Linked DNA regions of Stegostoma tigrinum. The protein of the gene in region 1 purifies or fractionates together with the protein of each later gene. This does not show direct contact. Links are inferred from orthologs where the notes say so. Each region holds a gene or a part of one and is shown on either strand. Other genes may lie near its edges.

Region 1 (7,581 bases):
ATCACTCTACAACCAGCATGGGGCAGGCAAGGAGCAGGTCCCAAGTCTACCTAAGTCAGAACAGGAACTGAACTTGTTTTGAACATGCTAGTCATCGATCCAACTGTGCTAACCGGCCCATTCAACCATAAAATAAAGCCACAAGTTTAAAGAGAGTGTCTTCTGATTTCGAGTTTAACATAAATTTATTATTATTTACATTTTAACCATGTCCAAAAATAATGATTCAAGCAACTGAATTTTGGTTACTGCAAAAAAGCTTTTTCTGTGGGTGTATGTGCGATTCATGAGAAAAGTCTGACTTTTCAATGAACAATTGTAGTGAAACAGTACACGTCTGGGTGACAGACAGTCGAAAATGTCTTTATACACAAGTTTTATATTGTATGGTCATGTCAATACTACCAGAATAATACCAACACTATTGTTGTTGTCAATTCAGTGGATAACTACCTTTATGAACGAGAGTACAGTAATCTCCATTTGCTACAGTAATCAGTGTTTCAGTATCCGTGCTTGGTTGTTGTTATGACGTACACATCTTCCAAAGCCGCTGAAAAATAGTGTGACTGCTACACATTATTTTGGAAATGAAGCGTGCTTTCAAATTTTATGACACTACTTTTAGTTTTTTATTCTAGCAATCTTTATTTTAAAATCTGAAACAAACTGGTTATTGTCCCCATTGGGATTATTTCCAGTTCTTTTGCTAACCCTAATTCCATTAGTCTCCTTTTGGAATTAGAAGTAGCTGTCCACCCATTTCCTACATTTGGTTAAATTAGCACAGACAATACACCAGGGGCATTGCTTCCTCACTCACTTGCAGCCAAATTGATTTCAAATAATGAAATGGTATTTCTGCATCAAAGAAAGAAAGAATTTGATTTATATAGCAGCTTTAACATCCTCCTGTTGTCCCATGGCACCTCACAACCAATTAAGTAGTTTGAGAAGCAAAATAAGAAAGACATCTGCTAATTTGCGCATAGCAATGAGCCATGAATAGAAACATAAATAGCCAGCCTTAATTATGTTGATTTACAGACAAACGTTACCCAGGACACAGAATTCCCAACTCTCATCTGAAATACATTATGGGGTCTCAAGGTTCTAGACAGTCAGTTTAAAGCTCATCTTGAAGCCAGTATGTCTGATAGATGTTCCCGTCCACTCTACAGATTCACAATCCAAGATGTTCATCAAATTCAGTCAAACTTTACAAAATTACAGAACAAAATGAACATTTTAAAATCTACTCTCCCCTATTACATTAATGTTTCCTTCCGGAAAGTTGCCATGCCCGCAAAGTCATCCTCTGCCCCGTGTAAAGTAACCACTTTATTGTAACTTTCATGTCGAACAAACACAGGTTCACCCCAAATTTAACTTACAAATACAACTTTTATTATTTATTCATGGGATATGGGCATTGCCCATCATTAATTTCCATTTCACAGGGCAGTTAGGAGTCAACCATGTTGCTGTGTGTACAGTATGAGATTTGATCAGACCAGGTAAGGATAACAAATTTCCTTCCTTCTCTCTACAGGTGCTGCCAAACCTGCTGAGTTTCTCCAGCACTGTTTTTGTTTCAGATTTCCAGCATCTACAATTCTGTTTTAAAATTCCTTCCCTGCTGATCTATGCATTCCTAATTTTACACTAAAAACAAACCAGATATGATCAGCAATATTTCTGCTACAACTTTGTACCTTAAATTTTACTCCAAAGAAACTACTTTTTTCCATTAAAATAAAGTCCAGTGCACCGACAGACTGTTGCAATACCAAAGCTGCAAATTTTAAGAAAGACAGCTTAAGTGTCTGTCTCAGTGGAAGTTTTAAAAAAACCTGAATGCAAGAACTTTTTTTAGACAAGAATCCTTTCTGAACAGATATTCAACAACTGCAGTACCATTGAGATCTGAACACATCCTGAAATACTTTACAACAGCATGAAATAAAATTTGACATTGAGCAACCAAAGGATATGAGGAGAGTTAATCATAAGTTCATTGGTTAAAGGCAAAAGGTTTTAAGGAATTTGTTAAGCAAAGATGTCACACTTGTTCCTTTTCCTTAAGGATGGGGAATGGAGAGGTTGAGGAAGGGAATTAGCAGCTTAGCATCTGAAGGCACTGGCGCTTGAGCCATTTACAATCAGGTGTGCACAAGAGACTACAATTACGGAGTCCAAATATCTCAGACTTTTTCAGGGTGGGGGCAGAAAAAAGCAAGTGGAGGTGTTCACAGAGGGGGAATGGCATGGAGGGATTTGAAAACAATCATGGGAATTTTTAAACAAACAAAACAGAAATTGTTGGAGAGATTCCACAGGTCTGGTAGCATCAGTGGAGTATAAAACAGGGTTAACATTTCAAGACCCATGACCCTCTTTCAGAACTAGTTGTCTGTTTTCTCTATCTACAGATGCTGCCGGACCTAGAGAGTTTCTCCAACAACAACATCAACAACGCTGCTGGAAAAGCTCAGCAGGTCTGGCAGCATGAGTGAAGAAAAAAAAAATCAGACTTAACATCTCGGGTCCAGTGACCCTTCCTCAGAACTGGGTTTCTCCAACAGTTGCTGGTTTTACTTGTTTCAGATCTCCAGTCTCTCAGTTCGATTTGAAAATTGTAAAAGCCTGACTTGTCATTTACCCCTTGGTTTGGGGGAGGGGAGGGAAAGAGGAGGTAGTGCTGGTTCCCTGAGGAAGGAAGAGCTTGCTTCCCCAAAAACCTGTCTCGCCAGCTTCCAGCTGCAAAAGCCTTTCTGAGAAACACTCCTGAGGCGTAACCAAGGGTCTAGGTAACCCAGGAGCCAGAAGGTCCACCTTTGTACCAGCAGCCTGGCTCAGGCACCTTATAGCTCGTTCGACTCAATTTGATTTATGCCTTCGCAGTGACCGGAACTCTCCCCCACCCCGAGATGGCAGCTTGGCGAAAGGACAGTGAGGGCGGAGGCCTACCTCTGTCCAGTCTGATGGGCTCCATCACCAACGCCATTCCACAACAAAACGACAGAATAAACGGACACTCCGGAAGTGACGTCTCCAGACGAGCCACAAACGTTTTATTCGTCGCTACGCTCCGGTAACGACAGCGCCACCGGCAGGCTGGGAGGACGCATTGAACCCACTCAGAGCCCTGAACTCAACCTTCGGTCACATTTCGTACCAAGTGAGCCACCCGGATTGCAACTGCTGTGTTTTTCCACATATAGCTTTTCTTTTGGGTCCTATCTATGTTTCTACGGTTTCCCGTTTAAACTCTAGGATTGTTTTTTCACAAGCCTCTGTTGCATATATAAAAAATAAATCGAAAGAACTGCAGATACTGGAAACAAAAACATAAATTGCTGGGTAATCTCAGCACCTTTGTGCAGAGAAAGCAGAATTAATGATTAGGCTCCTGTGACCCTTCAGAACTCCTTCTTCTGAAGAAGGCTCACTAGACCTAAGTGTTAACTCTGAATTCTGCACAGATGCTACCAGACCAGTTGAGATTTTCCAGCAACTTCAGTTTTTGTTCTGTTACCTGTACGTTTATTTGTTAAATTTGGAGCAAATCTATGCCTTTAAATGTTAGATTTTGTAATTTTTCTGTATTATTGCCATTAACCAAATCTGCTTCCATCTCACAGTGATCATGCCAAAACTGCATAGAATGATTTTATCATTGGATTTGGCACCAGACCCAGTCCATGCGTGTGCATGGGTAGATATCGCCATTTTGGTTTGGAAATTGAGTCATCGTTGTGTTGCATTTGTGTAGGTTTTTTCACGACGTAAAAGTATAGCTGTAAAAGGGTGGTGGTATGTTTTAGTTGCTCATATGACATTGTCCTGAAAAACAACTTGTATTGTTTCACAATGTCAAGGACAAGTTAGGTAATATAATCATGTAAATATCTAGGGATTGCTGAGATTAAAATGGTCTATACACAGCAACGAAAGCAAAGTTGCTGGAAAAGCTCAGTAGGTCTGGCAGCATGTGTGGAGGAGAAAACAGAGTTCATGTTTCAGGTCCGGTGACCTTTCCTCAGAACCCTTCGGGTCACCAGACCGGAAACGTTAACTCTGTCTTCTCCTCCACACATGCTGCCAGACCTGCTGAGCTTTTCCACAAACTTTGTTTTTGTTCCTAATTTAAGGCATCCGCAGTTCTTTTGGGATTTTTTTTAAAGCACTGTATGTTTTTCTAAGTTTATCTTGAAGGCACTGTCTAGGTTTTTACCAAAACATATTGGTGGCAACTCTAGTGAAACTTTATAAAGCTCTAGTTAGGCCCCATTTAGAATGCTGTGTCCAATTTTGGGCCCCACACGTCAGGAAGGACATACTAGCCCTGGAGTGTGTCCAGCGGAGATTCACACGGATGATTCCTGGAATGGTAGGCTTAATGTATGATGAATGGCTAAGGATCCTGGGATTGTATTCATTAGAGTTAAGAAGGTCAAGGGGAGATCTAGTCGAAACTTAAAAGATAATGTATGGCTTAGAAGGGGTGGACACTGGGAAGTTGTTTCCGTTAGGTGGGGAGACTAGGACCCATGGGCACAGCCTTAGAATTAGAGGGGGTAAATTTAAAATGGAAATGAGGAGACATTTCTTCAGCCAGAGAGTGGTGGGCTTGTGGAATTCATTGCCACGGAGTGCAGTGGAGGCCGGGACGTTAGACTTCTTCAAGGCAGAGATCAATAAATTCTTGATCTCACAAGGAATCAAGGGCTACGGGGAGAGTGCGGGGAAGTGGAGTTGAAATGCCCATTAGCCATGATTTAAATGGGAGAGTGGGCACGATGGGCCGAATGGCCTTACTTCCACTCCTATGTCTTATGGTCTTATGGTGTTACAGTGGTGCGAGAGTGAGCGGAGAAAAAGCCTGGCTTTAAAATCATAGTAAACAAAACAAATAACTAAAAAAAACAAGTTTCTCTCGCAATTTCTGTTTTTGTTTAAAATATAATGTTTTCTTTGATTGTCCAGGGTGGTTTTTCCTTATGGAATTAGGTCAGAAACAGGCTTGGAACTTCTGTGGCATTGCACAGATGTCCAGAGGATGGAATTGAACCTGGGTTCCTGGCACTGTAAGGCAGCAGTGCTAACCACTGAGTCCCATGCTGCCCCAATTATGTTACAACCATTGAATTATGGAAGGTGAATGCTCAGAAACAGGCCAAAAACTATTTGGAAACTGGATATGAGAGTTCCATCATTCCATGGTCAAAATGAATAGTAGCAATGTTAGTAAAACTCCACATTTTTAACAAGTAGCTTCTCACTATGTCATTCACAAGGAATTCATGATTTGTGCTGTCGATTTCACAAGAGCACAAAGCCATATCGATCAGCCGCCTGTCATCAGATGGGCTCATTCAAGTCCTCTCTTTTTAACCCTGTCAGTCACAACAAATATTTTTATTCTGCTTTTATTACAAAGCTATTTATTATTACATAATTTGTAATACAATTACAGACCCAATTATCAACAATTTCTTGAATTAAAGAAAAGGATTTTATTATCGACTAACCCTGAGGAAATAAAGTGAAAATATGATATTAAATAAACACACACACAAGCACAGGAATAAAATTTACAAGGGATATAGTCTGGTACAGACAAGAAGAAATAAGGCTAATTTTATGAAGATTCATCAAAAATAAGTTATTAGCTGGTGTTTGACAGTACGGGACTTAGATATTGCTGAAAAAGAGACACTTTGTCAGCCGTTTTCTCCATGTGCTCATTTTGCAGAAAGGAGTGTGTTAAGATAGATGGAATATTGTATTTTACTGTGTGTTTCAAAATTTTAAAAATGGTGTTATATATAAATAGTTTGACTTATTTTGTTTTATTTTATTTTATTTTACACAATAAACTTCTATTTTATTGTTAAACTAAATATTAAACATTGTGCACTTGTGTTCTCTGAGGCGGCTGTGTTTCTCTGGAACTCCTTGCCACAGAGAGCTATCTGGGCAGAATCATTATGTGTATTTAAGGCTCAGACAGATAGATTTTTGAGCAGTCAGGGAATCAAGGGTTACGGGGAAAATGTAGGAAAGCAGATGTGAGGAATGTTGGATTGGCCGTGATCTTACTGAATGATGGAGCAACCTCAACAGCTCCTGTTCCTATTTCTTATGGTCTTAAAATATGATCTATAAAGCCAGATTTCAATCTGGGATCTGACTTCTCCAGTAATAACATCAGCTCCGATCATAACAATTTGTTGACTTGTTTTTTAAGATGCAGAGACAAATACACAAGGTGTCAGAGCAGGTGCATACAGACAGAAGAGATCTATAGCAGCAAAGGTGCTTTTCTGATGAATTTCTAAGCAGCCAGGGCTTTGGAGAAGTCTCAAGATTCTTAAAGGTTGGTAAGAAGACAGCTCCAGATGCAAAAAGCTGTGAATGTAAAGATCAGGGAATCCATGGTAAATACTAATTGTGAGCTGAGTTAGCAGCTTGTTTCAAAGGTCTTTGGAAAAGATATATCTGAAGAAAACGACATTTAATGAAAATGCAGCAACTTGTAAAAACAGAAAATGATTATAAGCCATTCCAAGTGAGCAAGAAGCATTAGAATGAAAATTGGGGTTACCTTACACTGAGATTTGAGTCCCTGTAAGGGTATTGCTGAAGTAAAATGGATGAATCTTTCTTTCTGATTTTTGAGAGAAAGAAAAATCAAACTTATGGTCTATGAAGCCAGGTCTAACTCTGGGATCTGATTTGTCTAATATTACCATCAGCTGGAACCATAAAATAGTGGTGGCTACTTGTAGTAGCAGATATATTGAAATTTAAGTGCTTTATGTGAATCTTTAAAAATTAGACCACGGAGGCACTGAGCATAGAAACAGAAGAGTTGTCATGAAGCATATTATAAATGAGCAGAATTTTTAAATAGCTTTGAAAGTTGCAACAATTTCTTTGGGAATAGAAGATGAAACAATGGATTATTTGAAATCTTTAGAGATTAGGCAAATCTAAGAAAGTAGGCATATAAACTGGAGGTAGGGGAAATAAAATAAATTAGTTATTTATTGTCACATATATCTAGAAAGAAAAAGTGAGAAGTGTTTTGTTGCTACAATCCGGCAGCATTTTGAGTTACGAAAAGAATAAAGATAAATTACATAAAGAGAGCACATCTTCTGTACAAAGTGTCGCCAGACACAACTTCAGAGCTTCTGCAAGGTGTCCCAGGCCTCAAGGAGTCCCTGTACTGCAGGCCTACCACAGCCAGGAGTCCCCATTCCGGGTACTGTTTCTGCCATAGCGACCTGCTGCCACCAAGAGACCCCGCACTGGGGCACCACCACCATTGCAGACGATGGCCCGCTGAGTTCACGAGTCCATAGTCTGGGCCCACTGCAGCCAAAAGTCCTTGCACCAAGCACCTCCACCGCCACAGCCAATGACCCGCTGAGTACTGTTCCGGCTTCCCCCAGACATCTGAAGGTGAAGAAAAGAAAATAAAGAGAAAGGAAAGGATAAGAAAGAAGAGAAAGAGGAGGATGTAGCCGGCCTAAAGCGGATTGGCTCAGGAGCCTGAACACTGCCCAATGT
Region 2 (7,851 bases), on another chromosome or scaffold:
AGTGATGCACAACGTGTGCGGACATTAGTTCCAACTTGAGCAGCTGACGATAGTGGTTTAAGGTATTTAATGGGGAGGTATTAAGGGGAACAACAGAAAGTACAGATGTTTTAGACATCAGTTATATGGAATATTTCTTATTTTACGAAAAGCCCAATGTGTTTGCCATTTAGACAAAACAAAAATCATTGAAAAAAACGCTAGCTGCACAACTTCTCAAAAATTCACTACTGCTTTGCTGCTGGCAAGCAGATCAGTAGGTTTCCCGATGGATCTAATCCGTACGCTAGAGGATCCTACTATCCAGACAGGCAGTTTATGTGTGAACAACTTAAACTATCATTATACTTCAATCATTTGCCTCTCTTTGTAGTTAAATTTGTACTTGGATGGGGATCGCATATACACAGTACATTTGAAACCTCTGATAACCAATAAGACCTACTACATACCAGTATCATCTTGTTGACAATGACAATTCAATACTACAACACAACCTTAGTTTGTCAGAGCTATTTGCATTAGTGGTATGCTACTGAACACTTGAAAGATTAACCTTTGACGGTCACTGGACCTTTTACATTTATTTTGTTAATAGAATTATAACAGTGAAAAGGTGCCTCATATCACTGAAATCAGTACTAATAACCATTAAGTAGTGTTGGCTTGACCAATAAATATGTTTGCCAGCATGCTCACATCCCACATGAATAAAATATCAATTATTTTAATTATGTATTTTAAAGTTCAACGCAAATTAGGTTACAGCTGATGTCGAGGGATCATTTTCTTTACAATATTATCTTTACTTCCTCCCCATCAAAACGATTTTAATCAACTGCACTATTCTCTAACAAGAGTGTGGACTTCTGATTAAAATGTCAATAAGTTTTGAAATCAGAAAAGGATTTCCCACTCTGCAAAATCTAAATTGACACCCAGAATTTTAACGCAACTCCCACTATCCTTATTTCCACTTAAAAATCCGTAGTTATCAATACGGTTTTCCTTAAAATGTCATATCGTACCGATTCGGTATCTACTTTCCTCAGTACCACCTCCACACGTGTCCAACTCAGATGCCGCACACAGCCGAAACTGTTTACATTCATAAATCACGCCCCTTCCTCCATAAGGCTTCCTGTTCACCGCCCAACTGCTCCCGAATCGCATCATGTACACTGACATCAAGTTGTAATCTGATCGTTCAACACTATAAGCAGAGTTCATTAGAAATGCTGCACTGGCGCTGGCATTCATTTCAGTGTTGCGGGGTTTAAAATGACGCGACAACGTCTGTCAAATATTCGCAATTACATTGTTCGACTATTCCCGCTTTCTCGCCTCTCCGTGATTCACAGAATCGCAAGGCAACAGGTTGTCAGCTTAAGGAGAAAGAATGATTTCGTAATCGGATATAGAAAAGCCAAGGCATTCCCGCGTTGTTAAAACGTCAAACCTGTTTCTCTGTCCAGAATATTTAAGTCCTTATGTTCAGAACAACCCATTGGTATTTTAACAGCTCTCATCGGCCGACGCTGCTGTTAACCTCAAAAAGTAAGAAGACGACTAGATATCGAGCGGTCTATGTACGTACCTATTAATGCTTGAAAGAGATTACTGCGGAATATATTGATAACTCGCTCGATGGAGGCACGGAGCTGACGGTCTTCAGTCTTGCCGAGCTTGGCACGGTAATTCTCCAGGAGCTTCAGAGCTCGCTGAGCATCTGAGCAGAGACAAGGGGCAAAAATAATCACACATTTAACGATCATTACTGGACCGATCCCGTAACAACTCCTGGAGCTACTACATCTTTGCCCAGCTTTTAGCACTTGATAGAAAATGACAAAGATATCCTTCGTTAAAATCGGTTCGTCTTAAAGTTCGTGGCAATGGTGCTAAATACAAAGTGTTAGCGGACTTTAAAAACTTTTATTAAAATGTTTCTGCAAAATTTAATATGCTGAAACTCACCCTGCTTTCGAACCGGCATCCTCCTGTTTCAGATTTCCTTCACAGGTTAAAGCTCCCAGTTGGTAATTCCCTCAATTCCAAGTTGTCCTCCGGAGTCTAAGAGTCTCCGGAGACAGGATCTTTTCTTCTGCGCTTTCAAACGGTCCCGATAAACTGCCAGAAACACCGGATCCCAACTTTTCGCTCCGACTCAAGGAAATGTGTAAATATTTAGTGCAATCAGTTTCACTGACAATCAATTTTTTTTTCCTTTCAAAACAGGCTTAGGCTTGTTTGAGAGACACTTTTGGTTTCTTTCCGATATCAGTCAATCCTTCCTTCCTGAAGTAGACTGACCGGTTTGTAAAGTGTTGGCCTCAGGAGGACCACATCCTGACTCTCTCCTCTTGCCCAGTCTGGAATACCGATTCGCTGATCAGAACGTTTCTGCTGGTTATCTTGCCCGGTCACTGCTCGCTTGTCCTACTTGTTCAAGGTGACTGCAGGAGACCAACTGGGGAGAGTGGATCCTCTCCGCTGAGCTTGAGAGTGACTGTCCTGGTCTCTGCCCCTAACACTCAGGGTCGTCCAGTGGATCCCTTTGCTGGGTGTCGGTTGTTTTGATTCTTGGAAAAGAGAGTTGGAGGGGCGGGGGGTTGTGTCCTCTCTCCTCGGTATGGGATGCAGCAAGCGGCGGCCTTGCCCCACACCCCGCCAGCCCGAAAGAGGGGCCGACTCTCTGGCTGCCTCCCCGTCAGGCGAGTTACAGGCTCCGGGGCTTGCGCTCTCTTGCCTCCCCGTGGAGTTGTAGTCCTTCACCGCCGCCAGTGACCCACCGCCTCCTCCTCCTTTCCCCGCCCCGAGAGGTGGGGCCCCCGGACCGGCACCGGCACACACTCTCCCACTCCTCTTCTTCCGGATTCCACCAAAAACAAACTTTCGCTGCCGCCGCTTCCCTCCCACCCGGCGAACAACTGCTACTACTCCTCTTCCCAGTCACTGCCAGAAAAATCCCAAACTTTCCCCCAAAATGGCGACCGGGACGGCGAATCTCCACCACCTGACCGGCCGCCCGCCAATCAGGAGGGAGCAGGCCGACCGGGGGGCGGGGCCCAGGTTTAAGGAAGGCTGCGGTGATGCTGCAGAGCAGCTCACCCAAGATTTGAAACTCCAGTGCTGTTCCTCCCCAACACCCTGCCCCAGAACTCACTCACCGTCCCTCCCCAACACCCTGCCCCGTAACTCACTCACCGTCCCTCCCCAACACCCTGCCCCGTAACTCACTCACCGTCCCTCCCCAACACCCTGCCCCAGAACTCACTCACCGTCCCTCCCCAACACCCTGCCCCAGAACTCACTCACCGTCCCTCCCCAACACCCTGCCCCGTAACTCACTCACCGTCCCTCCCCAACACCCTGCCCCGTAACTCACTCACCGTCCCTCCCCAACACCCTGCCCCGTAACTCACTCACCGTCCCTCCCCAACACCCTGTCCCGTAACTCACTCACCGTCCCTCGCCAACATCCTGCCCCGTAACTCACTCACTGTCCCTCCCCAACACCCTGCCCCGTAACTCACTCACCGTCCCTCCCCAACACCCTGTCCCATAACTCACTCACCGTCCCTCCCCAACACCCTGCCCCAGAACTCACTCACCGTCCCTCCCCAAAACCCTGCCCCATAACTCACTCACCGTCCCTCCCCAACACCCTGCCCCGTAACTCACTCACCGTCCCTCCCCAACACCCTGCCCCGTAACTCACTCACCGTCCCTCCCCAACACCCTGCCCCAGAACTCACTCACCGTCCCTCCCCAACACCCTGCCCCAGAACTCACTCACCGTCCCTCCCCAAAACCCTGCCCCATAACTCACTCACCGTCCCTCCCCAACACCCTGCCACAGAACTCACTCACCATCCCTCCCCAACACCCTGCCCTGTAACTCACTCGCCGTCCCTCCCCAACATCATGCCCCGTAACTCACTCACCGTCTCTTTCCAACACCCTGCCCCATAACTCAGTCACCGTCCCTCCCCGGCGCCCTGCCCCATAACTCACTCACTGTCCCTCCCCGGCGCCCTGCCCCAAAACCCACTCGCCGTCCTCTCCAACACCCTGCCTCAAAATTCACTCGTTGTCCCTCCCCAAAACCCTGCCCCAAAACTCACTCACCGTCCCTCCCCAACACCCTGACCCATAACTCACTCAGCGTCCCTCCCCAAAACCCTGCCCCAAAACTCACTCACCGTCCCTCCCCAACACACTGCCCCAGAACTCACTCACCATCCTTCCCCAACACCCTGCCCCGTAACTCACTCACCATCCCTCCCCAACACCCTGCCCCGTAACTCACTCACCGTCCCTCCCCAACACCCTGCCCCGTAACTCACCCACCGTCCCTCCCCAACACCCTGCCCCGTAACTCACTCACCGTCCCACCCCAACACCCTGCCCCGTAACTCACTCACCGTCCCTCCCCAACACCCTGCCCCGTAACTCACTCACCGCCCCTCCCCAACACCCTGCCCCGTAACTCACTCACCGCCCCTCCCCAACACCCTGCACCGTAACTCACTCACCGTCCCTCCCCAACACCCTGTCCCGTAACTCACTCAGCGTCCCTCCCCAACACCCTGCCCCAGAACTCACTCACCGTCCCTCCCCAACACCCTGCCCCGTAACTCACTCACCGTCCCTCCCCAACACCCTGCCCCGTAACTCACTCACCGTCCCTCCCCAACACCCTGTCCCGTAACTCACTCACCGTCCCTCCCCAACACCCTGCCCCGTAACTCACTCACCGTCCCTCCCCAACACCCTGCCCCGTAACTCACTCACCGTCCCTCCCCAACACCCTGCCCCGTAACTCACTCACCGTCCCTCCCCAACACCCTGCCCCGTAACTCACTCACCGTCCCTCCCCAACACCCTGCCCCGTAACTCACTCACCGTCCCTCCCCAACACCCTGTCCCGTAACTCACTCACCGTCTCTTCCCAACACCCTGCCCCGTAACTCACTCACCGTCCCTCCCCAACACCCTGTCCCGTAACTCACTCACCGTCCCTCGCCAATATCCTGCCCCGTAACTCACTCACTGTCCCTCCCCAACACCCTGCCCCGTAACTCACTCACCGTCCCTCCCCAACACCCTGCCCCGTAACTCACTCACCGTCCCTCCCCAACACCCTGTCCCATAACTCACTCACCGTCCCTCCCCAATATCCTGCCCCAGAACTCACTCACCGTCCCTCCCCAACACCCTGCCCCAGAACTCACTCACCGTCCCTCCCCAACACCCTGCCCCAGAACTCACTCACCGTCCCTCCCCAAAACCCTGCCCCATAACTCACTCACCGTCCCTCCCCAACACCCTGCCACAGAACTCACTCACCATCCCTCCCCAACACCCTGCCCTGTAACTCACTCGCCGTCCCTCCCCAACATCATGCCCCGTAACTCACTCACCGTCTCTTTCCAACACCCTGCCCCATAACTCAGTCACCGTCCCTCCCCGGCGCCCTGCCCCATAACTCACTCACTGTCCCTCCCCGGCGCCCTGCCCCAAAACCCACTCGCCGTCCTCTCCAACACCCTGCCTCAAAATTCACTCGTTGTCCCTCCCCAAAACCCTGCCCCAAAACTCACTCACCGTCCCTCCCCAACACCCTGACCCATAACTCACTCAGCGTCCCTCCCCAAAACCCTGCCCCAAAACTCACTCACCGTCCCTCCCCAACACACTGCCCCAGAACTCACTCACCATCCTTCCCCAACACCCTGCCCCGTAACTCACTCACCGTCCCTCCCCAACACCCTGCCCTGTAACTCACTCACCGTCCCTCCCCAACACCCTGCCCTGTAACTCACTCACCGTCTCTTCCCAACACCCTGCCCCATAACTCACTCACTGTCCCTCCCCGGCGCCCTGCCCCAAACCCGCTCGCCATCACTCCCTGGCACCCTGACACAAAACCAGCTCGCCGTCCCTCCCCGGCACCCTGCCCCAAAACCCACTCGCCGTCCTCTCCAACACCCTGCCTCAAAACTCACTCGTTGTCCCTCCCCAACACCCTGCCCCAAAACCGACTCGCCGTCCCTCCCCGGCACCCTGCCCCAAAACCCGCTCACCGTCCCTCCCCGGCGCCCTGCCCCAAAACCCGCTCGCCGTCCCTCCCCGACGCCCTGCCCCAAAACCCACTTGCCGTCCTTCCCCGGCGCCCTGCCCCAAAACCCACTCGCCGTCCTTCCCTGGCACCCTGCCCCAAAACCGACTCGCCGTCCCTCCCCGGCGCCCTGCCGCAAAACCCACTCGCCGTCCTTCCCTGGCGCCCTGCCCCAAAACCCGCTCGCCATCCCTCCCCGGCACCCTGCCCCAAAACCCGCTCGCCATCCCTCCCCGGCACCCTGCCCCAAAACCGACTCGCCGTCCCTCCCCGGCGCCCTGCCGCAAAACCCACTCACCGTCCTTCCCTGGCGCCCTGCCCCAAAACCCGCTCGCCATCCCTCCCCGGCACCCTGCCCCAAAACCCGCTCACCGTCTTGCCCCAGCGCCCTGCCCCAAAACCCACTCGCCGTCCCTCCCCAGCGCCCTGCCCCAAAACCCACTCGCCGTCCCTCCCCGGCGCCCTGCCCCAAAATCCACTCGCCGTCCCTCCCCAGCGCCCTGCCCCAAAACCCACTCGCCGTCCTTCCCCGGCGCCCTGCCCCAAAACCCACTCGCCGTCCCTCCCCGGCGCCCTGCCCCAAAACCGACTCACCGTCCCTCCCCGGCGCCCTGCCCCAAAATCCACTCGCCGTCCCTCCCCAGCGCCCTGCCCCAAAACCCACTCGCCGTCCCTCCCCGGCGCCCTGCCCCAAAACCCACTCGCCGTCCCTCCCCGGCGCCCTGCCCCAAAACCCACTCGCCGTCCCTCCCCAGCGCCCTGCCCCAAAACCCACTCGCCGTCCCTCCCCGGCGCCCTGCCTCAAAACCGACTCGCTGTCGCTCCCCAGCGCCCTGCCCCAAAACCCACTCGCCGTCCCTCCCCGGCGCCCTGCCTCAAAACTCACTCGTTGTCCCTCCCCGGCACCCTGCCCCAAAACCCGCTCACCGTCCCTTCCCGGCGCCCTGCCCCAAATCCCGCTCGCCGTCCCTCCCCGGCGCACTGCCCGTAAACCCGCTCACCGTCCCTTCCCCGCGCCCTGCCCCAAATCCCGCTCGCCGTCCCTCCCCGGCGCACTGCCCCAAATCCCGCTCGCCGTCCCTCCCCGGCGCACTGCCCGAAAACCCGCTCGCCGTCACTCCCCGGCACCCTGCCCCAAAACCCACTCGCCATCCTCTCCAACACCCTGCCTCAAAACTCACTCGTTGTCCCTCCCCAACACCCTGCCCCAAAACTCACTCACTGTCCCACCCTCTCACCCTGTCTGAAAACTCACTCACTGGCCCTTTCCAACACCCTCCCTCACACAGCCTGCCTCAAAACTCAATCACTGTCCCTTTCTTATTCACTGGTTCCCACTCAATTTCTTTCCCTTCCTCCTAATCTGGTACAGTACCATCCTCAGATTTTGGCTCCACATCAATCATTATTGTTCACTGCCTCCAAATCAATCACTATTCATTCTTCCTTCCAGCTCAATCAGCATCCATCCCTGCTTCTGCCTGAGTCACTGCCCCTATATGCTTACGAATGAATCATGATTTTCAGGACGGCATAATTAATGGAATGCCACACGGATCACTGCTGGAGTCTTGATTTTTTAACACTATATATAAATAACTTGGCTGACATAAGTGAATCTGTTAGGACCAAGTTTGTAAGTTACACAACAAATAAGCTAGTAGTGAGGATGATACAATCAATCAGTTGGGGAATATAAACAGGTTAAGTGGCAAAACGTAACAAAT
Region 3 (7,502 bases), on another chromosome or scaffold:
GGATAAATCCCCAGGTCCAGAGGAGATGCATCGAAGGCTGCTGTGGGAAACAAGGGAGGATAATAAACAGGCTCTGAGATTAAATTTTAACCCTCTCTGTTCATTGGAGTGGAGTGGCTCGAGAACAGCTAATATGGTGCCCTTACTCAATGTGAGTGGTAGGGGTAAGCCAGGAATCCACAGATTTTAATACCTGTGGCAGGAGAAAATACTGGAAAAATTTCTGACAGACAGAATTAATCTGCACTTGGAGAGGCAAGGATTAGTCAAGGATAGTCAGCATGGCTTTGGGAAGTCATGTCTAACAGATGTAATTGTATTTTTCAAGGTGGAGACTAGGCAAGTAGATGAGGGTAGTGCAGTTGATGCAGTCTACACAGACTTCAATAAAGCTTTTGACAAGGTCTTGATTGGCAGATTAGTTAAGAAGCTAAGAGTCTTTTGGCGAATTGGATCCAAAATTGGCTTAGTGGCAGGAAGCAGATGGTAATAGGTGAAGGGCATTTTTGTGACTGGGAACTTGTGTCCAGGGGCATAGTGGGTTTGGAGCCGGGTCACCTGCTGTATGTTGTATGTATTAATGACTTAGACATGAATGTAGGAAGTATGATCAGTATGTTCACAGGTGATATGAAAATTGGCATTGTGAATAGGAGGAGGAAAGCCTTAAAGCCCAGGATGTTGTAAATGCCCGCTTAGATGGGCCAAACAATGGTAAATTGAATTTAATCCTGAAAAGTCAGAGGAAATGCATTTTGGCAGGATTAACAAAACAAGAGAGTACATGTCAAACAGGACCTATAGGACCCTTGGAATTACAAAGGATTGGAGGAACGGTAGTGCACATATTCACATATCCTTGAGTGCAACAGGACAGGTTGATAAAGTGATTAAAAAGTCATATTGGATGTTGGCTTTTTTAATTAAGGCATTGAATATAAGAGCAAGGAGTTTATGATGGAGTTGTATATGATATTATTTAGGTCAATAGCTAGAGTACTGTGTACAATTCTGATCACCATACAATAGGAAGAATGAGATTGTACTCGACAAGATGCAGAAAACATTCATAGGGATGTTTCCTGGGCTGGAGGGTTTTCGCTATGAAAAGAGACCAGCCTGGCTGGGGTTGTTTTCCTTCCAGTAGCTAAGGCTGAGGCAGAATCTGACTGAGGTGTACAAAGTTATGAAGTGCATTGATAGGGGAGAGAGGAAGAAACTTCCTTTAGAAGAAGGGTCAATAAACAATGGGGCACAATTTTTAAAGTTAGGAGCAAGAGTTTTAGAGGGGATTTAAGGATTTTTTTTTCATCCAGAGGATGGTGGGAATCTAGGACTCACTGCCTAAAAGGGTGGTAGAGGCCAAGTCCCTCAAGACATTATAGAAGCATTTACATTAACACTTGAAATGCCATAGCATATAAGGGTATGGTCCAAATGCTGGAAAATGGGGTTAGAATAGATGAATGTTTGATAACTGGTTTGGATATGATGGGCCAAAGTACCTTTTCCTTAGCGTGGTAACTCTAATGACTCAAAAGGAACAAACTTTCTGGTTAAAGTGGCAGGAAGGAAATTAAATATTCATGTTACTGTCTTAAGGAGCTGCCTTCAAATGTTATTTTGGAGCAACAGTCGGATTTCAACATGGAGAGGGCCTTAATATAGTGACTCAATAAAAATTTTAATATTGTATTCTTTCTAATTCTGAACTGTTTAACAATGGTTTCAAAATATTTCTCCACGTGATACAATATTCGAGGAATCATAAAGTAATGAGATGCAAGGAATGAAGTATGATGTGATAAATGCAATTCAACGAATTTCAAACAGTCTCTTACTCACCTGACAACACAGTGTGGAGCTGGAGGAACAGAACAGGACAGGTGGCGTCAGAGGAGCAGGAAAGTTAATGTTTTGGGTTGGGACCCTTCTTCAGAGTCTTGTTCCTCTGATGCTGCCTGACCTGCTGTGTTCCTCCAGCTCCACACTGTGTTGTCTCTCACTCCAGCATTGGCAGTTCTTGCTATCTCTTATTCACCTGATGTACATTCGGAGGGACTTCCTCCTCTGTATCCTTTTGAATTTATTTAAGCTTTAGCTTGTTGTTGTTGATCAGAGATAGAAACTAATGGGAGAGAATTCTATTAAAGGAGAGATGTTAGCAGAAGGGCAATGTCACTGAGGTAGCACTTAGAACAAGCCAGTTTATTACCCTTAAACTGTGGGTTCATGCACATCCCTAACAGTTGATAGCTTGGGGAGACAGTGGTAAAATCACCAGGCTAGTAATCGAAACAATTTCAAATGCCATCATAGCAGCTGATGGAACTTTAATTCAATCAATACATCTGGAATTGAAAGCTAGTTTCAGTTACGGTGACGGTGGAACTAATATCAATTGTCATTAGAAACTCATCTGATACATTAATGTCCTTTAGGTAAAAGGACACCGGGGTGGCACAGTGGCTCAGTGGTTAGCACTGCAGCCTCACAGCACCAGGGGCCCAGGTTCAATTCAAGCCTCGGGCAACTGTCTGTGTGGAGTTTGCACATTCTCCCTGTGTCTGCGTGGGTTTCTTCCCACAGTCCAAAGATGTGTAGGCTAGGTGGATTGGCCATGCTAAAACTGCCCATAGTATTCATGAGTGTGTGGGTTATAGGGAGATGGGTCTGGGTGGCTTGCTTCAAGGGCTGGTGTGGACTTGTTGGGCCAAAGGGCCTGTTTCCACACTGTAGGGAATGGAATCTAATCTAATCTAAAGAAGTCTGCTGTCCTTAACTGGCCTACATGGATTGCAGACTCTTCTAAGAGCAGCAGCACTGCAAAAATTTGTGATTTCAATAAACCTGTTGGACTATAACCTGGTGTTGTGTGACTTTTGACCTACTATAATTGAGCGGAGATTGATAAATTCTTGATCTCACAAGAAATTAGGGATTATGGGGAGAGTGCAGGGAAGTGGAGTTGAAATGCCCATCAGCCATGATTAAATGGCAGAGTGGGTTCGATGGGCCAAATGGCCTTACTTTCACTCCTATGTCTTCTGGTCTTATAATTGCAATACTTGGAAGTTTTACATGGTCACCATTCACTGGATGTAAGGTGTGGGGGGCCCTCCTCCTGCAAAGCAAATCTTTTTGAAATGATTTCAGCTTTAATCTGTTTGGTCAAGATCAGAAATGTTCATCTAAACAAACCATTGAGAAGAGATTGCTTTGAAGGAGAGATCACAGCGTGAGTAGGAAAGATCCAGGGAATGGGATTAATTCTGTTATTCTTCAGGAATGGCACAGGTTCAATGCACTAATTACCTACCCTGTATGGCTCATGAAACTATGAGAGGATTGAGAGGAGAATTGGTAGAAGTACTGAAGATAATATGGAGTCCAGACAGATAAGGAGGTTGTTATCCCATAGATTAATAAGTTTAGGAAGCAGAGGACACAGACTTTAGGTAATTGTCAAAGGGAGCAATGGCGGCATGAGGCAAACCTTTTTCACACAGCAAGTGGCTATAATCTAAAGTGGAGACAGGTTGACCTGCAGCCTTCAGGAGCAAGTGGGATCACCGTCAGAGAATGAAGAATGTACAGAGTTACAGAGAGAAGGCGGGATCGTGATACTGGTCAATTGGCCAATCAGAAAGCCAGCACCAATTTGAGTGGTTGAATAGCCTCTTCCTGCGTTGTCGCCATTCCAATCATACTATATAGGGATGCAGCAGAATGACTTCGAAAATGTAGAGCAGTGGGTTTGCAGTCAAATCTAACTCTAAGGCAAGTCTGTACACAGAGGGCTCTTGTAGCACAGGGGTAGTGTTTCCCCCTTCCAGAATGGGAGGCCTGGTTTCAAGTCCGACCTGCTCCACCAGCGTGTTTTAATATTGCTGAACAGGTGGAGATTTTATTTTAAAATAACCAGAGAGGAAATAATGACAGATCTTCAAAGTAAGAAGTGATTGTCTGGCAGCAATAAACAAGCTGAGCTGAGATAACAAAGTGTGAAGCTGGAAGAACACAGCAGGCCATTATATTCATCAGAGAGGGTCTAGGCCCGAAACGTCAGCTTTTGTGCTCCTGAGATGCTGCTTGTCCTGCTGTTTTCATCCAGCTTCACACTTTGTTATCTTGGATTCTCCAGCATCTGCAGTTCCCATTATCTCTGATCTCTGAGCTGGATGGGTCTAGTGACACAGCGGTAAGTGTCCATACCTCTGGACTAGAATGTTTAAAGTCAAGTCCGATCTGCCCCAGATTGTATCATAACCTGCCTGAACTTTTTTAAAAAAAAGTTAAGTCGAATTGGTGCGCGCTATGGAGAACCAGGAATAGATGAACCTATTCGGAAAGAATCCACCAGAAGGCGCTACTTCAAGGACAATTTCAGGGCTTTCCATTTCAGGAGGTGGGGGGAGAATTCTCGAAGTTCAACAGTTTGAAAAATAAAGTTGGAAAAGATAAAGGATTTCAAGAGATTATTGGCATTGTGTTGGGAGCTGAAGGTGGAATCAGAATTGACACTGCGTCACTTTGAACTTGGACCAACACTGAATTTCTCTCTCTCTCACACACACACATACACACATTCTCTCTCTCACACATTCTCTCTCTCTCTCTCTCCCTCTCCCACACTCACTCTGTCCTAGCGACACGCCAACATCGCAACTTTAACCCGCACAAGAGCAGCGAAGCTCATTTCATAACTGAGACTGAGGTTGGAGTTATTGCAAAACGGACAGGAGCTTTTTTTTGGGAGGGTAGATGCAGCAGGAGGACGAGGGGGAACTATAAGTGGGACTAAAATCCTGTGCTCCCAGCAGTTTATACAATGGGAAGCTGGCTCAAGGACTGCGGGACAGTACACGCCTCTGCAACAGCGGGAAAGTAGAGCGGGGTAAGTCACTTTCACAACGCTGCTGGGAACGGAGGGAAAACGGAGATTCTTACACTTTTTTTTCTGCCCCAGGAAGGAAGCTGGTCGCTTATTTCTTTATACATCTTCCTCTTTACACCTGGAGATTCACCGTTCATTTTTCAGACGGCAGGTTGCATGTAGCAGTTTACAGAGTTTCTCTCGCGCTGTCGAAATCGTTCAGTTTTCTCTAAAATGGTTTAGTTTTGCACTTGTCCAACTATAGATCATTTTAAATTGGATACCGCGACCTGGTTTTCTGCCGAGTCAGTATTCTCAAATTTCCTAATACTTTGTCCGAATATTTATTGTAGAGACTACCAGGGGAGATTTTGTTCCGTTGTTTTTCCTTCGGCAGATTAGCAAATTTTTGTTCTTTTTTCTTAGAATAAAACATCTTATCTGGAACATTGAAGGGATGATTCTAATTAAGCTAACGGCAGAACAAATGTAGCCTTTTTCTCGTAAATGTCTAAGTCTGGAGGCTGTGATCCAGTTCGTAATGGGATATGGATTGCAGTAATTGTGTAGATTATCCACGTTAATTTTCTGTCTGCATTTCAAGGTTTCGCCAGAGTACAGTAAACAGCTATTTAAAAAAAAACAGAATGTCCTCTTCTGTGTAAGTTAGATAGAATTGTTTGATCAAAAAGTCGGCTTAATTCTGTAACTTTGCTTATGTTATAAACCCTTTATTGTAAGCAGTTATGAAAGTAAGCTTTTATTGATTATTGAACAAGTCATTTGTTCTGTCTGCAAGGATGTTACGTTCAGAAATCATAGAACCCCTATCGTGTAGAAGCAGGCCATTCAGCCCATCAGGTCCACTCTGGTCCAAAGCGCATCCCACCCCATTCTACAATCCTGCATTTCCCATGGCCAGTCAGCCCAACCTGCATGTCTTTGGATTGTGGGAGGAAACCGGAGAACCCAGAGGAAACCCACGCAGACACAGGGAGAATGTGTAAACTCCCCACAAACTGGAAGCAAACCTGGGTCCCTGATGCTGTGAGATAGTGGTGCTAACTGCTGAGCTACTACAAAGAAGTGTTTAAGTTTTGGGCGTGGTTGACTTTAATTGCCTCTGTCGTAGTTTCTCAAAACTTGCCAAAGTTTCAGGAGCTGGGTCCACGATCACCTTTTTGGGCACAATCAGACTTGCCCATGGTACTCGCATTCCAGGAACATGTTTTGATATAAACAGATAGATAGTTGATGTGTAAACTTTCTGCACTGGAAATTTTGAAACTGGGCTTTCTTTGATAGTCAGAGATCGTAAGAACTGCAGATACTGGAGTCAGAGATAACACAGTGTACAGCTGGAGGAACACAGCAGGCCAGGCAGCATCAGAGCAGGAGGAAAGTTGACATTTCAATCCTGAAGAAGGTCCTGACCTGCAACATCAACTTTCTTTGATAGTCGCTTGATGGATGGGTCAGCCTTTGCTGATTGGGTAACACTCTCCATTTGTGGTGAAGTGGTTTTGTGAGAGTTTAGATTGTGTACATAAGTGGCTGGGACTTCAAAATGCCGTCTTGAGAGATTTTGCAGATAAAGCTTTACATCAGACTCATGATGATAAGGTAGATACAATGAATGGTATTGTCTCGTTATTCAAGAAGGATGAAACTGGAAAGGTTTTTCTAAATGTTTCATGAGACATGGGTGTGACTGGCATGGCCAAAATGCTGCCCATCCCTATTTACCACTTAGCTGAGTACTTTACCAGGCTGTATCAGATATCATTGAAAAGTGAGTCATAGAATCAAAACAGGCTATTTGGCCCAACAAGCCCACACCAACTCTCTAAACACCAGACTCACCTCCCTACCCTATCGCTTGTAACTTTGCATTTCCCATGACCAATCCACCTAAGCTGCACATATTTGGACTGCAGGAGGGAACCAGAGCAAAACCATGCAGATATAGGTAAAATGTGCAAACTCCACACAGTCATCTGAGGCTGGAATTGAACGCAGGTTTCTGGTGCTGTGAGGCAGCAGTGCTAACCACAGAGCCACTGTACTGCCCATTGCTTTGGGCCAGACCAGGTAAAGATAGCAGAATTCCTTTATAATAACTTGAAGTTTTTATGGCCATGATTATTGTAACTAGTTTCAACATCCAGATTTATTAATTGAATCTAAATCCTACCATTCACCAGAGTAAGATCTGGTTCAATGCTGACATCCTCTTGCCTGCTTAATTGAAACAAAAAACTTCTATATCTGTTTAGTTCTTCATGCTTCTGACCCATAAACTGAAAAGAAAAGCAAATAGAGATCAAAACAACATACATTCATAGACATGATTTCAGATCCCTGCCCCTCCACTGTAGCTGGAGAATTTCAATTCACTTAATTAAATGAATGTGGTAGTAAGAGCCAGTGGGGGGGAAATGAAAGGGAGATTATCTGTGAAATATAAAATGATAGGAATACTGGGCAGGCAAGTCACTCTCTGTTGAGGTGAGTTCACTTAATCTTTCCTCTCCCTATCCCTTGTGGAATGCATTGCCGGAGAGGGTAGTGGAGTTGGCCTCATTAGGGGCATTTAAGCAGCTGTTAGATAGACACATGGATGATA

The links.
Region 2: the proteins of lin7c (region 1) and disks large homolog 1-like purify together in Homo sapiens (affinity purification with mass spectrometry; 4 studies listed by BioGRID and IntAct, counting the BioPlex papers as one, with this or other methods). This does not show direct contact. The link is inferred for Stegostoma tigrinum from reciprocal best matches to the Homo sapiens genes LIN7C and DLG1.
Region 3: the proteins of lin7c (region 1) and rho guanine nucleotide exchange factor 26-like purify together in Homo sapiens (affinity purification with mass spectrometry; 3 studies listed by BioGRID and IntAct, counting the BioPlex papers as one, with this or other methods). This does not show direct contact. The link is inferred for Stegostoma tigrinum from reciprocal best matches to the Homo sapiens genes LIN7C and ARHGEF26.

The regions. Positions count from the first base shown.
Region 1 is NC_081370.1:53,126,824-53,134,404, forward strand, and holds the start of lin7c (protein lin-7 homolog C), read right to left. Parts: upstream 3,086-7,581; 5' UTR 3,008-3,085; coding exon 2,971-3,007; intron 1-2,970. UniProt on the Homo sapiens protein: Plays a role in establishing and maintaining the asymmetric distribution of channels and receptors at the plasma membrane of polarized cells.
Region 2 is NC_081367.1:52,820,487-52,828,337, forward strand, and holds the start of disks large homolog 1-like, read right to left. Parts: upstream 3,004-7,851; 5' UTR 1,997-3,003; coding exon 1,978-1,996; intron 1,730-1,977; coding exon 1,598-1,729; intron 1-1,597. UniProt on the Homo sapiens protein: Essential multidomain scaffolding protein required for normal development. Recruits channels, receptors and signaling molecules to discrete plasma membrane domains in polarized cells.
Region 3 is NC_081367.1:63,309,763-63,317,264, reverse strand, and holds the start of rho guanine nucleotide exchange factor 26-like, read left to right. Parts: upstream 1-4,457; 5' UTR 4,458-4,897; intron 4,898-7,502. UniProt on the Homo sapiens protein: Activates RhoG GTPase by promoting the exchange of GDP by GTP. Required for the formation of membrane ruffles during macropinocytosis. Required for the formation of cup-like structures during trans-endothelial migration of leukocytes.